Macaca fascicularis: one gene and its partner. The main gene of each other region encodes a partner of the protein of the gene in region 2 in a complex. Links are inferred from orthologs where the notes say so. Each region holds a gene or a part of one and is shown on either strand. Other genes may lie near its edges. The genes, in order: ISCU and NFS1.

Region 1 (8,039 bases), on a different chromosome or scaffold from region 2:
CCATAAGAGGAAAGTAATGACATCGACTGTGCACTCAAGGATATCTGTGAGGTTTAGAAATGATGCCCATCAAGTGCTCAGTATGATGGCTGGTGCATATCTCCTTCTGGCATGATTTTCTTAGGGATGAATGTGAGACCACGGGGGCTCTAACCCTCTGCAGGTTGTAAGGACAGACTCATGAGCTCTAATTCTGAGGGTTATAAACATGGGCTCCATGACCTAAAAGGACTGTTGCAAATGCAAGTTGAAATTACTGCCAAATGTCCGAGCTGACTGGTATGGAGAGCAGAGACTTACTGGAGCAGTGCAGTTTCACGGGAGGCAGGCAGAGCTCCTTGGCGATATCTGTGTTTTTGATAGTCAAGGCTTCCTCCACCTGAGAGGCATAATGGAAAGACGGGCAGTTTTAGCAACGCTTTATCTTGTGAGGGCCAGACAATAAAAAAGGGAGGCCAAAAAGGCCCTCGGGGTTGGTGGGGATAATTTCTGTTTAATAACTCAAAGGGCTGAGGGTCTTCTCAGGATGACTCCCACTCTATCAAAGCTGCAGCTGGGATTCTCAAGCATGAAGTATACACAGCTGCACTGCCTGGCTTGGGTAAGCAAAGACCGCCCAGACACTTCTCTAAGCCAGGAGTGGAACCGGTGAGAAGTCTCTTAGGGATCTGCTTGTGGCCTGTGTCAGGAATCTTTTCCTTAAAAGGTAGTGATTTCCGATACTGGTTTTGTGAATATCAGCTTCTCTGATGTCCTCATACGAAATGTTAGAATAAATCCTTTTGACTAGAAGTGCCACATGGCATCAGAGAGGTTGGGAAGATGTCAGGTAAGTGGCACAGTGGCAGTCGCACAGCCGGGTCAGGCTGAACGCTCTCTCTGGTGTCACCCTTTGCCTATAGGAGCAGCTCTTCCAGATCAACTGAGGAGGACGCCTGGGGTCTGGTTGACAGCCCGGGGGGGATAATGTGAGGCAAACAGATCCTCGCCCATGTGGAACAGTGCCCCACCGCCTTACAGAAAACCAGATTTCCCAACAGCTGGGCTCCTTCGCTATGTCTGACTATCGTTCAATTTCCCAATTCTGCTAACCCTTCTTGGCTGATTCAGGTTCTGCTCCTGAAACTCAGATAGGCGATCTCAAGGTTAAAGAAAATGTTCTCTCTCCCATTTTCTGATCACAATTCACAGTCCCCTAAGAGGCAGGTTCTGGGAGCATAAGTGCCTTGTCTCATTTCTCCCTTCACCTGAGGACAGTTCCTGACAAATCACTTCAGGGCTACCTCCTGCCAGAGCAGGTTAGGTCTGAGCTTCCTGGCCCACAGGAGCTTGCCAGCCAGAAGGCCGTGAGCCACAGGAAGCAGGTGGCACGTGGCCTGGCAAACCGCTCTGCCGTGGAGCTGGCCAGCTCCCAAGCATGCTCCTCCATGACTCAGCTCCCTGCACCTGGTCCCTTGGGGCAGCAAAGATGAGTGCCATGATGGTTGGCTTTTCTGAGAGGTTCTGACAGCAACTGGATTTTAGAAAGTCCAGCTCTTCACTGCTTTTGGGACCTTTGACCTCTGCAGCTACCAGGGAAAGACACTTCGGAGAGAAAGGGATGAAAGAGAAGTTCTAGCTCTTTATTATCTCTGCCTTTAGAGGGCTTGCGATCAACCACCTGGATCACTGTTCTGATTTCGTTGTTCACTTTGCCCCTACCCTTGCTGTGTTTTTGATTCTTTAATCCCTCTTTTAACACAGGCTAGTTTATTTCACCAATCCTTGTAAGCCACCTAGAACCCTTCCTGAAACATGAGAGGAAATAAGCAAGAAAATAACTACCATATAACAACTCTCTGACTTGACAAATTATAAGAGTATTGGTAACCTTAGAGAAAGCCAAAGATTTCTTCTAAATTCTATTTTGTTAGAGGGACAGGTGATGATCTTTTTTGTATGTAATTAACACCCAAACAAACAAACAAAATGATCAACAAGAAAAAAACCCAAACATCATCTAGAATGATCTATAATTCCCAATTTGAAGAATTAATATAATCAACATCTGTATAGCAGAAACTTTAAAAATTCAGAATATTAAAAAAAAGTTATGGTTGTTTTTGACCCATTAGACCCGTCAAGAGACAGGCTTGGGGTGAATGCAATTTCATTCTGTCAGATTTGTGAGCAACCTTACCGTCTTTCCTTTCACCCATTCAGTGGCTAATGAGCTGGAGGCAATTGCAGAACCACAGCCAAATGTTTTAAACCTAGCATCCACAATTTTCCCCTTTTCATCCACTTGAATCTAGAAAAGAGACAAGAGTTAAGTGGTGAGTCCTAGGACCACCCTCTGGAACTTGGCACTCACGAAGGTTCATTGGGGCCTTCCCCAAGGGCTTTGGGCTTGCTTTCCATACTAAGTGATGGTATTAATTACTGATTTTGCCTTGTTTCAGAGAGCTCAGTGATGAAAAGTGAAATGCAGGGACAATTATCCAGGCCCAACTGACAAAGATCAGCTGGAAAATATGTTCCTCCACCCCAATATTATTTTGTTTTGCGACTCTGGCTTGCATTTTGGCTATGAACTTCTATTTGAGGCAGTCTGCTCACAGCTGCTGGGGCAATCTGCCTCTTAAACACTGAGAGAGTACACAATAAAGGTCTCTGGTTAATACTTTTTTCTTGGGCAGCAGATTATACTTAGTGGTTTCCTCCTGTTTTGTTTCTGTATTCCAAGATAGGTATGAAGATCTCTGGCAAGCTGCCCACTCACCATGAAGCAGCAGATTGGCGCTACAACAACAGTTTACCCAAAGCACTAGACACTATCTTCATGTTGCTCCCAATCTGGGGACAGGTTTAATTTACTGTGTTTCTTATCTCATTGGGGACTGCTAGCTCACTGGGATTTTCCTTTGATCAGTAAAATTCACAAAACTCTTTCGTTGGCTGAAGTTGGAATTTAAACTTATACAGTGAGTACAAAAATGAGATTACTTTTCTATTTCGGAAAAAGTCGGCATAGTACACTAGCCTGGCAGGAGAGCTACGATTGAGGCCCTGTTCCAATCACGTCTAACATGGACTCATCCCATCTCACAGGAATAAAGATGGAGACCGAGTGAAATGCTGTATGTGCAAGTGCTTTGTAAACTTAAAGGGATTATTGTTATCACTATTAAAGACTAGCCATACCTGTAATTTCATTACGTCACCACATGCTGGAGCCCCCACCAGTCCAGTTCCAACATTTTTAGATGTCTTGTCAAGGGACCCCACGTTTCTAGGATTTTCATAATGATCAACAACCTAAAATGAGAGGGTTAAGATAAATCGTGTTCACTCTCTATTGGTGCTGGTCTCTGGTATGGTGGCAAGCTCCTGGAAGTCAGCATCTTGAACCTGGCAGGCAATCACCAAATTTCACCTGAGTAGAAAGGTCTACACTCATGTCAGTGAGAACCATTTGTGACCCCCAATTCCTTTTGTGTCTCCTCTACAACTACTTCACAGATTAGCGACACCTAGAAGAAAAAAATATCAGTGAAATCATGTCTTAATTCCATAGGGTTTTTACAAAAATACTTGACTTTTACCCACCTACATCACCAGACTTGGGCTCAAACAGCAGTTTTGTTATTTTCAAATAAAAACTATCCTCAAAGGATGATTACTATTTAAAAATTCTAAAAATAACTATGGCCCAGGAAGGGAAAACTTTTAGAAGCCTTAAGGTGACTGTTACACAGAGAACAATGCTATGGAATGTGTACGTTTATGTGTCTTTCAAAATAAAAACAGTGCCATTACCGTATTTCAGAGCCTGTCATCACCCTGGTGCAGCAGCGCACCCTGGCTGCTGAAAGGCTGCTAGTCCAAGTTTCCTCGGGGTGTACCCTCAACGAAACACACCGCCGGGAGGGGGAGGAGTGAAGAAGCCCTTGGAGAAAGGGCAGAGGCCAGATCAGAATCAACATCCATTCGAACTGGCACACAGAAGGCCTTAATGTGGTTACTGGTTAGTAGTAAGCACCCCGATCTTCCAGTCCCCTTTTCCTCCCCATCTGACTAAGGATTTTGACTCCAAGTAAAGGCCCCTATAGGATAGTATCTAACGGAGGGACTTTTTGTGCCACGTTGATTTATGGCATTCTTTGTTTCTAGAGTGGGAGTCTCACGTCTGGGGGACTTTGCGTCACCAGACAGCAAGGGGCTGCAAACTATGCATCTATCCCTCCTTCCCCGCCAAAAAAAAACCCCCAAAACAAAACAAAAACACTACGCATGTTGGTTACAAGCCTGACTCCCCTATGCACTCCTAAAGCAGTAACAGAAACGGTCTCCTCGTGCTGGGGCCTATGTGCCAGGAACCATGACAGGACTCCATGCACAGTATCCTTTGTAAGAGACAGCTGAGAGTCCTCATTTACACCTGGGGAAACAAGTTCAGAGAGGCGCAGTGACTAGCGCAAGGTCATCTAGCCAGGGCAGCAGCGTGGCTGAAGCCGGAGCCCGCTCCGGGGGTGTGTCTGTCCCTGGACTCTAAAAGACAAGTCCCAACAGGACCCTGCCTCCTGGGCTGTTGGCGAATTTAAAGTTGGGACGCACGAAGTCGCGGCCAGCGGCGGGGCCCCCTGGAAGTCGCAGCCCGATGAGCGGTAACTGTTGTTTATCAGTTGCAGTGAGCCTCACTGCGCAGCAAGGGAAAGTGAGTCAGGGCAAAGACGTGGGAGGCGACAGCTAGTCCTGGCTGCGTAGAACCCCGCGGCCGCCGCTCCAGCCCAGGCCTCCCCCGAGTCGGCATTCCGCGTGTCCCCTCGTTTGTCCCTACCTTCTTGTGATAGAGTCGGGCCGGGGCCGATAGCTCCCGGGCGGGCAGGCGGGGGCTCCGGAGCAGCAGAGCCGACGCTGCCCGCCTCAGACGGCCAGCTCCAGCTGCCGCCATCTTGCCGGCTTGCGCCTGCGCCAGTCCAGAGCGATGCCGAGGGGCGGGGCGCGTCTGCGAGTCGGCGCCGAGCTGGGAGCGCGCCTCTCTGGCGTCACCGAGGCTTTGCGCCTGCGCCTTACCGTTCCGTGCAAGCCTCCGCCCTGTGGCCCCGCCTTGACCACGCCTCTCGGGGGCGGGCGGGGTCGGGAGCGGGAAGGTCTGAAGTCGCTAGAGGGCTTGTCCTGGGTGCTGGATTCTGGTTGAGAGAGGATCTCAGGCTTCTGCAGTGTGGGAATGCGGCGCAGAGGACCACTGAGTCCACTTTTCCTAACCCTATTTTGCAGCTAAGGAAGCTGAGATTCAGGGCAGTTTGGTCACTCCGTCCAAGGTCGCTTAGGGCTTAGGTTCAACTAGAATTCGAACTTGGGTAGTCCTGGGTTAGAATCCTGGTTCGGTTCCTTCCTGGCTGTGTGTCCCTAGACAAATGGTACCGGCTTGCTAAGTCTGAATCTTCCTTTTTGTATTAATTCGAGGACAATTCCTTCATCATGAAGCCAGCATCTGTGTTGAGTACCTACTATGTGTCAAGGCACTCTACTAGACCCGGGGATCCAACAGAAAGCAAAACAGACGTAATTCCTGCCCATTAAGCTTGCTAATGAGGGAGCAAGGTAGAGATAGAGACACACTCCAGTACTTGCCTACCTCAACAATGGGAAGCTTAAGAAGGAAACGAACACCATGTCCTGATTGAAAAAAAATGAGTATATGTCTATTTTTCTCTCTGAAACAACAGCAAATTCAATTTATATGTCGGTGCCTAGCAATTAAGAATTTCTAAAGAAATGCGTATTTACTGTTGGTTTGCAGTATGTGAGCTTATAAAACCGGAAAACTCAAGTGTATTTAACGCCTCCTAGGTACCAGATGTTTACATAAAGGGGAAGAATTTCTTTGGGAAATGGATTTTTCTCTTGAATGGTGAAATCGATCCTTCCCCGAGGACCTGCAGTTTTCTTTGCGTTTGAGGTGCAGTTGCTGGGGAGACTAAACCCAAGCGCCAGGTCACACTAGGCGATAAGTAAGGTATTTTTTCTAAGAATCACTTTGACCTTCTCAAGATGGCGCCAAATTCTTTACTACAGACACCACGCTCGCTTCATGACTTCCTCTATGGCCTCCACTTCCTGCCCAAAGACCCAACTTCTGTCCGAAGTTGTGACGGAACGTATGCCATGATAATGAGTTTTTTCTCTGGTGGGAGTTTTTACAGGGGTATAAAATAAAATGAATTTAGTGTATTTGGAGATTTTCTCGTTATCTAAGGTTCCCAGTTTCCCTTTCAGTGTCAAGAAAACGGGCTTTTGATAAGGCGCGCGCCGCGGGCAGCTTCTGCCTCAGCGGGTCTTCGGCGGCCGCGGGAAGACCCGAGAGTCATTAGAAGCGCAAGATGGCGACTGCGGCCGCAACCTCGGCTTCAGAACCCGAGGCTGAGTCCAAGGCTGGGCCCAAGGCTGACGGAGAGGAGGATGAGGTTAAGGCGGCGAGGACAAGAAGGAAGGTGTTATCGCGGGCTGTGGCCGCTGCGACATACAAGACCGTGGGGCCAGGGTGGGATCAGCAGGAGGAAGGCGTGAGCGAGAGCGATGGGGATGAGTACGCCATGGCTTCCTCCGCGGAGAGCTCCCCCGGGGAGTACGAGTGGGAATATGACGAAGAGGAGGAGAAGAACCAGCTGGAGATTGAGAGACTGGAGGAGCAGGTGGGCCCGGGGGTGGGCAGCGGGCACCTTCCAGTCTTTCAGGTCCTCAGGTCCCCGTGTCCTGGCCCGCCTCCCTAGTCCTCGGCGGCCATAAAGCCGCCAAGGCTGCAAACCCCTTTTTCATGACCGTAGCTCCTGTCATTTGAGTGCTTACTGCGTGCCCGGTGCTTTGCAAATGTTATCCCATTGAATCCTCACCACCCTGTGAAGGAAGCCCTGTTATCTATCCCCATTTTACTGGAGGAAACTGAGGTTCGTGGAGGAAAGTCTCTTGCTCAAGATAATACTTCCTGCAAGTCAGGCCTCGTACTTTGATCCCATTCCAGAACTCCCCCTCGTAGCCACACGTCCAACAGTAGAAATACACTCATTCATAAGAGACTGTTACTTTGTTGTGTAGGAATGACGGCGGTGATGAAACTTGTGGTAGGAAAAATATTGACCGCGATGGTGATAATAGAAATGGAAAGGTTTGCTGGTTCTGGAGGTTAAGGCCTCAGTTCTAGCTGTTCCACCCTTGTATGTCCTTGTGAGAATTTCTTAATTTCTCTGATCCTCTCGGCTTCCTCATCTGCAGATTGGGAGCAACAATGTCTGCATAATATAATTGTTGTAACAGTATCTATAGCCCAGTGCCTAGCATCTAGTCATAACATGGTCTCTCGTTTGTAACCTTACGAGGTGGTGATATCTACTGTATAATCCAGGATCTCAGCAGGAAATAGGTGGCACATTTAGATTAGGATGATCTGAGAGAAAGTAAGGGTGTGGGTATGGGAAATCAGGAGTGAAGGTTTAGTATCCCATGGCTAGTAACTCCTGAACCTGGTGTCCATCTTTGGGCCTGAAGGGGTGAAGGGAATGATCTGAGTTGTGTGGAGAGGGCACCTGAGACCTGCTGATAACTTTGTTCAAGGGATGCAGCTCCAGTTTCCTGTCAAGGATTGGGGTGGGGGAAGAAATACCTTGACCTCCCTTTCTTCCTTCCACCAAACTTCTCCTGCTGGTGCCTTCTGCTGGGCAGACCCATCTGGAAGCTGAAGAGCCAGAAAACCTGTATATGGGGTCTATACTCGGGGACACAGGGCAGGGAGGAGAGGGTAGGGTGTGTTTGGAGGGGGCAAACAGAAGAGATGGAGCACATTCTCTCTCTTTTTTTTTTTTTGAGACAAGAGTCTCGCCCCGTCACCCAGGCTGGAGTGCAGTGGCACCATCTCGTCTCACTGCAAACTCTGCCTCCCTGGTTGAAGCGATTCTTCTGCCTCAGCCTTCCCAGTAGCTGGGATCCAGGCATGCCCCATTGCGCCCGGCTAATTTCTGTATTTTTAGTAGAGATGGGGTTTCACCATGTTGGCCGGGCTT
Region 2 (7,939 bases):
TTACTCTTGTTGCCTAGGCTGAAGTACAATGGCGCAACCTCGGCTCACTGCAGCCTCCGACTCCTGGGTACAAGCGATTCTCCTGCCTCAGACTCCAGAGTATCTGGGATTACAGACATTTACTACCACACCTGGCTAATTTTTGTATTTTTTTTAAGTAGAGACAGGGTTTCTCCATGTTGATCAGGCTGGTTTCGAACTCCCAACCTCAGGTAATCTGCCCTTCTCAGCCTCCCAAAGTGCTGGGATTTACAGGTGTGAGCCACTGCACCCGGCCATTTTTGTATTTTTAGTAGAGACGGGGTTCCACCATGTTCATCAGGCTGGTCTCAAACTCCTGATCTCGTGATTGATTGCCTGCCTCAGCCTCCCAAAGTTGTGAGATTATAGGCATGAGCCACTGCACCTGGCATCCTATTTTTTTTTTTCTTTTTGAGACGGAGTCTCACTCCGTTGCCCAGGCTGGAGTGCAATAGCACTCTTCACTCACTGCAACCTCCGCCTCCTGGTTTCAAGTGATTCCCCTCCCTCAGCCTCCTGAGGAGTTGGGATTATAGGTGCGTGCCACTGGGCCTGGCTTATTTTTTTATTTTTAGTAGAGATGGGGTTTCTACATGTTGGCCAGGCTGGTCTCAAACTGGTGATCTCCTGACCTTAGGTGATCCGCCCGTCTCGGCCTCCCAAAGTGCTGGGATTACAGGCATGAGGCACTGCACCTGGGTTTAAGCATTTCTCCTGCCTCAGGCTCCACTGTTTTTTTTTTCTTAAATGAGATAAATGGTTTTTTTAATTTCTTGTAATAGTTGAAATTCCAGAAATTTTTTAATGTACCTTTATTGTTTCTTCTGATATTAACAGTAATAACTACTCATGACTTTGTTTACTGTTATATCACTGGCACCTAGAAAATTACTTGGGATACTGGAGGTGCTAAATATTGGTTGAATGAATGAATCATAAATTCCAATAATATAGAGAACTCTAAACACATTTTCACTGCTAATTTGCTGTATATTTCTCCAGATTTTTAAATACCTACATTAATCTGTATACTATTATCATTTTAATAGATTTTATTTTTTATAGCAGTTTTAGGTTCACAGCAAAATTGAAAGGAAGGTACAGAAATTTCCTATATATGCCCACCCCCAGGTATGCACAGCCTTCTGCCATTATTAGCATCTTCCATCAAGTGGTACATTTGTTCCAATTGACGACCTGGTATGGATACATCATTATCACCCAAAGTCCATAGCTTATATTAGGAATCACTGGTGTTGTACATTCTGTGGGTTTGGACAAATGTGATTTATTCTAGTGAATTACTGAACTTGAGCGGGCTTCGGGAAGCCCTGAATTTGTATTTGACTGGGCAGAAGTATGGGTAGCTTGAGACCCCTGGGACTTATGTCTGGTATCTGAACTAGGGGCAGTCTTATGTGATTGAGCCCTTAATCCATGGGGTTTTCACTAAGTCTGCAGAGTTAGCCTCAGAATTGAATTATAGGATACTCAGTTGGTATGAAAGAACTGGTGTTGGAGCATACTGTTCTTGCCCATTTTTCCTTTACAAATGATGTTGAAGTCATTGCTGTCTCTCTCAGTATGTTCTCCTTCCATCTATCACCACCAATTTCTAGGGGGTGGCCCGATTCTACAGGTCACGGAAAAAGCACTTGATCACCACCCAGACAGAACACAAATGTGTCTTGGACTCCTGCCGTTCACTGGAAGCTGAGGGCTTTCAGGTCACCTACCTCCCAGTGCAGAAGAGTGGGATCATTGACCTAAAGGTAGGAGTGGCTATTGGCAGGAGGAGCAAAAATGGAGGAACTTGGCTTCAGCTTGTAAATTTCTCTTTTGGGCCCTAGCTGGAGCTTGAAGGAATAGATCTAACAGGATGAAGTTTAGAGAAATGGGCCTGGCAGAGAATGAGATCATGTTCCCCTTGAGTGTGTACTGTCCTCCTTTTCTCTGGAGGACTTGTTTCTTTTTCTTTTTTTTTTTTTTTTTTTGAGATGGAGTCTCGCTCTTTTGCCCAGGCTAGAGTGCAGCTCACTACAAGCTCCACCTCCTGGGTTCACACCATTCTTCTGCCTCAGCCTCTCAAGTAGCTGGGATTGCAGGCGCCCACCACCATGCCCAGCTAATTTTTTGTATTTTTAGTAGAGATGGGGTTTCACCGTGGTAACCAGGATGGTCTCGATCTCCTGACCTCGTGATCTGCCCGCCTCAACCTCCCAAAGTGCTGGGATTACAGGCATGAGCCACAGTGCCCAGCCTTCCTTTTTTTTTTTTTTTTTGAGGCAAAGTCTCGCTCTGTCATCCAGGCTGGATTGCAGTGGTACAATCTCGGCTTACTGTAACTTCCACCTCCTGGGTTTAAGCATTTCTCCTGCCTCAGGCTCCGAAGTAGCTGGGACTACAGGTGTGCACCACCAGGCCCAACTAATTTTTGTATTTTTAGTAGAGATGGAGTTTCTCCATGTTAACTAGGCTGGTCTTGAACTTCTGACCTCAGGTGATCCACCCGCCTCAGCCTCCCAAAGTGCTGGGATTACAGGCGTGAGCCATTGCCCAGCCTTGATTAGCTTTTTTCACTAATCATAAGTCTTTGGGAATTCATTCCTTGCTGCATGTGCCAGTAGTTTGTTCCTTTTGATTGATAAGTAGTAGTCCATGTTATGGATGTACCAAAATCATCTGTTGAAGGACATCTGGGTAGTTTCTAGGTTTTTGCTATTATGAATAAAGTTACTGTGAACATTTGTGTAAGATGTTTTGTGAATTTAATTTTCATTTCTCTGGGATAAATGCCCATGCGTACAGTTACTGGGTTGTATGGTAATTTCATGTTTAGTGTGATGAGCAACAGAAACTGTCAAATTCTTTTCCAAAGTGGTTGTGACATTTACATTCCCACTAACAATGTATGAACCATTCAGAGTCTGTGCATCCTCACCAACATTTTGTGTTGTCACTGTTTTTAGTTAACTATTCAGATAGGTATGTAGTGTAAGACTCCTTTTCATGACTAAGCTTGCCTATATTCTGATTTAGGAGGACTTTGTTTGCACTATCTAGTCACCTTACTCCTGCATATCCCTAGGAACTAGAGGCTGCTATCCAGCCAGATACTAGCCTGGTCTCAGTCATGACTGTGAACAATGAGATTGGAGTGAAGCAGCCCATTGCAGAAATAGGTGAGTATCATGGCTTATCCCTGATCCCTGCCCACTATGGCGGTCTGTATGATGTAGTAGACTGAGAGCTGTAATACTCTGTGGAGTGTAGTTAGGAAATCAAGTGAAAGAGAGCCTAAGTGCTTTGTTCAAGGACATTGTAAGTATCACAGGCAGTATTTGAATCTAGGTCTATTACCATTTTTTTTTTTTTTCATTGAGACAGAGTGTCACTCTGTTGCCTAGGCTGGAGTGCAGTGGTGTGATCTCAGCTCCCTGCAACCTCCACCCCCTGGGTTCAAATGATCCTCCCGCCTCAGCCTCTCAAGTAGTGGGACTACAGGTGTGCACCACTATGCCTGGCTAATTTTTGTATTTTTAGTAGAGATGGGGTTTTGCCATGTTGGCCAGACTGGTCTTGAACTCCTAACCTCAGGTGATCTGCCCTCCTTGGTGTCCCAAAGTGCTGGGATTACAGGCATGAGCCACTGCGCCCCGCCAGGTCTAGTACCTTTTATGGTTTTTAATTTTATTGCAGTTGCTGCCAAAACCAACCACAAAACAAAAAAGCCTTCTACCCTTTTTCATTTTAGAACATCTTTTTATTATCCCCACGTAGAGCTCACCCTGTAATTTCTTTAGGCACGTTAGCACAAAGATCTCTTAATTTTTTTTTTTTTTTTTTTTTTTTTTAATCAAAAGGGATCTAGAAACTAATCTGACATTTTGAAAGACTGGTGTTAATGAGGTGGTAAGAATCGTATGCATGAGAGTATCAGGAGTGTTTTGATCTGGTGTTTTGCCCTTCATCTTTTTTATTCTAAAGAAGGGAAGCTACTGAGAGACAGAGGGAGGAAGGAAGAAGGGGGAGGAGAGAAGGAAAAGAAGAGGGAGAAGGGGTGGAAGGACGGAGGGGAGGAGTTTAATATTGATAGAGGTCATTTACTGTTGTTGGAGATAATTCACAGTGCACTGTGGGACAGTGACAGATGACTTTCCAACATTGTGCTGTGGGTCTTCCCCTCTGTTTCCTCAGGGCAGATTTGCAGTTCCAGAAAGGTGTATTTCCATACTGATGCAGCCCAGGCTGTTGGAAAAATCCCACTTGATGTCAATGACATGAAAATTGATCTCATGAGCATCAGTGGTCACAAAATCTACGGTCCCAAAGGTACCAGCCCCTCTAGAGTTCTTTCTGTACCTTCCAGCAAGACCTTTGATAGGTGTTTGTCAGAGTCATTTGGGACTACTATTGCTCTCAGAGGAAGTTGTACATTCAGAGTCCCTTGTAGAATGCAAATGTCATTTAGCAATAGGCAGAAACACTTGCCTGTTTGTAGACCTTAGCAGTTACTATACATCAGGCCATTCTTTCTTGCTGACTTTAACAAATCCTTAGCAAGCGTGTAGATCTTAATTTGGTTGAGGAGAAAGGGGTTTTGTCAAATCAAATTTATCTAGATAAGCCCAGCTATCTTGTTTTCCCCACTATGATGTGCAGAGCAGCTATTTGAGTCCTTCATTCCCAGTGTCTTGCTATAGCTCAGGGGAAGATTGCATGGGATTTGACATCTCTTTGTGTTTATTATGATTATGATTTTTTTTTTTTTTTGAGACGGAGTCTTGTTCAGTCGACCAGGCTGGAGTGCAGTGGTATGATCTGGGCTCACTGCAAGCTCCCTCCTGGGTTCACGCCATTCTCCTGCCTCAGCCTCCCGAGTAGCTGGGACTACAGGCGCCCACCACTACGCCTAGCTACTGTTTTTTTTTTTTTTTTTTTTTTTTGAGACGGAGTCTTGCTCTGTCGCCCAGGCTGGAGTGCAGTGGCCGGATCTCAGCTAACTGCAAGCTCCGCCTCCCAGGTTCACGCCATTCTCCTGCCTCAGCCTCCCGAGCAGCTGGGACTACAGGCGCCCACCACCTCGCCCAGCTAGTTTTTTTGTATTTTTTAGTAGAGACGGGGTTTCACCGGGTTAGCCAGGATGGTCTCGATCTCCTGACGTCGTGATCCGCCCACCTCGGCCTCCCAAAGTGCTGGGATTACAGGCTTGAGCCACCGCGCCCGGCCGCCTAGCTACTGTTTTTGTATTTTTAGTAGAGACGGGGTTTCACCGCATTAGCCAGGATGGTCTCGATCTCCTGACCTCGTGATCTGCCCGTCTCAGCCTCCCAAAGTGCTGGGATTATAGGCATGAGCCACCACACCCAGCTATCTTTGCGTTTATTCTTAGAATACTTCATAGTCTGTTACCCTGTTAAGTCTCTCATGGATACTTATTTGTTCCCTATGGTCCTGTTGGAATGTGTTCAAGCTTGAGTTATGCCTCTTTCCCTTAACCCTCGGGAATAGACTGTTGTCCTCTGTTTTGTGAAGGTAACCATAAAATATCAATATAAAATATAACTCCTCTTTCTCAAGTGAGGGCCTTTTTTGGGTTGATGTCTTTGCTGGTATCCTTTTTGTACCTGCAGGGTGTGTTATCTGGGTGTATACTTTGTGGAAGTAGGTATAATAGCTTCTGGAAGTATGGAAGATGGCTTCTGAGGGTTCCCAGAGGTTGTAAAGAGTGTTTTTTGTGAGCTATTATTTCAAAAAGCTCAATAAGAATCCTATCTTTTAATAAAATGTTGCTTTTATTGGCTTTTATTGTAGATAAGTCTTTTTGATAAAAACCAATGAACTCAGGCTGGATACCCTATTCTTCATCATGTCCTATTTCACATTATATGCCTGTGTTAAAACATCTCGTGGGCTGGGCACGGTGGCTCACGCCTGTAATCCCAGCACTTTGGGAAGCCAAGGCAGGTGGATCACGAGGTCAGGAGTTCAAGACCAGCCTGATCAACATGGTGAAATCTCATCTCTACTAAAAATACAAAAATTAGCCGGGTGTGGTGGCGTGTGCCTTTAATCCCAGCTACTCAGGAGACTGAGGCAGGAGAATCGCTTGAACCCAGGAGCCGGAGGTTGCAGTGAGCCGAGATCGCGCCACTGCCTGGGTGACAGGCAAGACTCCCTCTCAAAAACAAAAAAAAATCTCATGTACTCCATAATATATATATCTCCTATGTACTCACAAAAATTAAAAAAAAAAAACACCAATGAACTCATTGATCAGAAGCTCTGATCAACACTTACATGTGTACAGGTATCCCTCATTATCTGACCTCCTGCTTTCCAAGCCCAGAATCTAAATAGATTTAGATAATGTGGTATTCTTCACTGTCCAGACATGGTATTTGAGCACTTGCTGTTTGAATTCGGGAACTGTATAGACTCAGATAGTATAAGATTCTTGAATTTTTTAAAATGGAGAAATGAAATAATTCTTAATAAATACAGTTTAGTACATTATTTTATTCATTTGTTTTATAGGGACAAGGTCTCACTCTGTCGCTCAGGCTGGAGTGCAGTGGTGCTATCCTACCTTGCCGCAGCTTCAATCTCCTGGGCTCAAGCAACCCTCCTACCCCAGCCTCACCAGTAACTAGCACTACAGGTGTGCACCAACACCCTAGCTAATTTTTTTTTCTTTTTCTTTTTTTTTTTTTTGAGACAAAGTCTTACTCTGACGCCCAGGCTGAAGTGCAGTGGTGTGGTCTTGGCTCACTGCAACCTCTGCCTCCCGGGTTGAAGGGATTCTTCTCCCTCAGCTTCCTGAGTAGCTGGGATTACAGGCCCACCGTGCCCAGCCACACCTGGCTAATTTTTTTTTTTTTTTTTTGAGACGAAGTCTTGCTCTTGTCCCCCAGGTGGAGTGCTATGGCGAGATCTCAGCTCACTGCAACCTCTGCCTCCCGGGTTCAAGCGATTCTCCTGCCTCAGCCTCCTGAGTAGCTGGGATTACAGGTGCCTGCCACCACACCTGGCTAATTTTTGTATTTTATTTTATTTTATTTATTTTATTTTATTTTATTATTTTATTTTTGAGATGGAGTCTCGCTCTGTCACCCAGGCTGGAGTACAGTCGCGCCATCTTGGCTCACTGCAAGCTCTGCCTCCAGGGTTCTTGCCATTCTCTTGTCTCAGCGTCCCAAGTGGCTGGGACTACAGGTGCCTGCCACCACGCCCGGCTAATTTTTTTGTGTGTGTGTATGTGTTTTTAGTAGAGATAGGGTTTTACTGTGTTAGCCAGGATGGTTTCGATCTCCTGACCTCGTGATCCACCCGCCTCGGCCTCCCAAAGTACTGAGATTACAGGCGTGAGCCACCGTGCCCGGCCTAAGTTTTGTATTTTTAGTAGACATGGGGTTTCACTATGTTGGCTAGGCTGGTCTTGAACTCCTGACCTCAGGTGATCTGCCCCCTTCGGCCTCCCAAAGTGCTAGGATTACAGGTGTAATCCCGCTCACGGCCTAATGCGTGGCTAATTTTTAAAACAGTTTTTGTAGAGATAGAGGTTTCACTATGTTACTCAGGCTTGAATTCCTGACCTCAAGCAACTCTCCTGCCTCAGTCTCCCAAAGTGCTGGGATTACAGGCATGACCCACTGCACCCAGTTTATTTAAAATCTGGTGTCCTTCATAATAAATTTGGAAACCACTGCCTTAATTTTTATAGTACCTCCATTCTCAGCATAAACAGTTTTTCTGTGTGGGAGAAGAACTGTCAAGTGCCAATTCTATTCAGAAGCCCTGATTACTTGGTGAATAACTTCGCATGCTCATGCTCATATTTTGGCACAAAATTTCTGTAATTAGGCTTGTTTAGTCACAGGTTATACACATTTTTAAGTTTTTTGTTTTTTGAGTCAAG

What was found.
Region 1: the proteins of NFS1 (region 2) and ISCU are in contact, whole or in part, in a crystal structure (PDB 6W1D), measured with the Homo sapiens proteins. The link is inferred for Macaca fascicularis from reciprocal best matches to the Homo sapiens genes NFS1 and ISCU. Residues at the interface, in NP_066923.3 of Homo sapiens: Tyr360, Val361, Glu362, Glu364, Ser365, Leu367, Met368, Ala369, Lys371, Glu399, Asp400, His403, Ser404, His429, Arg432, Leu433, Glu435, Met436, Ser437, Pro438, Leu439, Glu441, Met442, Trp454, Thr455; in NP_998760.1 of Homo sapiens: Tyr35, Val40, His42, Tyr43, Glu44, Val49, Gly50, Ser51, Leu63, Val64, Gly65, Ala66, Pro67, Ala68, Cys69, Gly70, Val72, Lys74, Phe90, Lys91, Thr92, Phe93, Gly94, Cys95, Gly96, Ile99, Lys135.

The regions. Positions count from the first base shown.
Region 1 is NC_088385.1:115,393,567-115,401,605, reverse strand, and holds the start of ISCU (iron-sulfur cluster assembly enzyme ISCU), read right to left. Parts: upstream 4,961-8,039; 5' UTR 4,934-4,960; coding exon 4,820-4,933; intron 3,929-4,819; exon of another isoform or gene 3,298-3,928; coding exon 3,184-3,297; intron 2,291-3,183; coding exon 2,180-2,290; intron 380-2,179; coding exon 301-379; exon of another isoform or gene 1-300. Other genes in the region: SART3 (squamous cell carcinoma antigen recognized by T-cells 3), read left to right, coding at 6,366-6,677.
Region 2 is NC_088384.1:91,745,542-91,753,480, reverse strand, and holds part of NFS1 (cysteine desulfurase), read left to right. Parts: intron 1-1,640; coding exon 1,641-1,793; intron 1,794-3,109; coding exon 3,110-3,203; intron 3,204-4,218; coding exon 4,219-4,353; intron 4,354-6,558; exon of another isoform or gene 6,559-6,682; intron 6,683-7,939.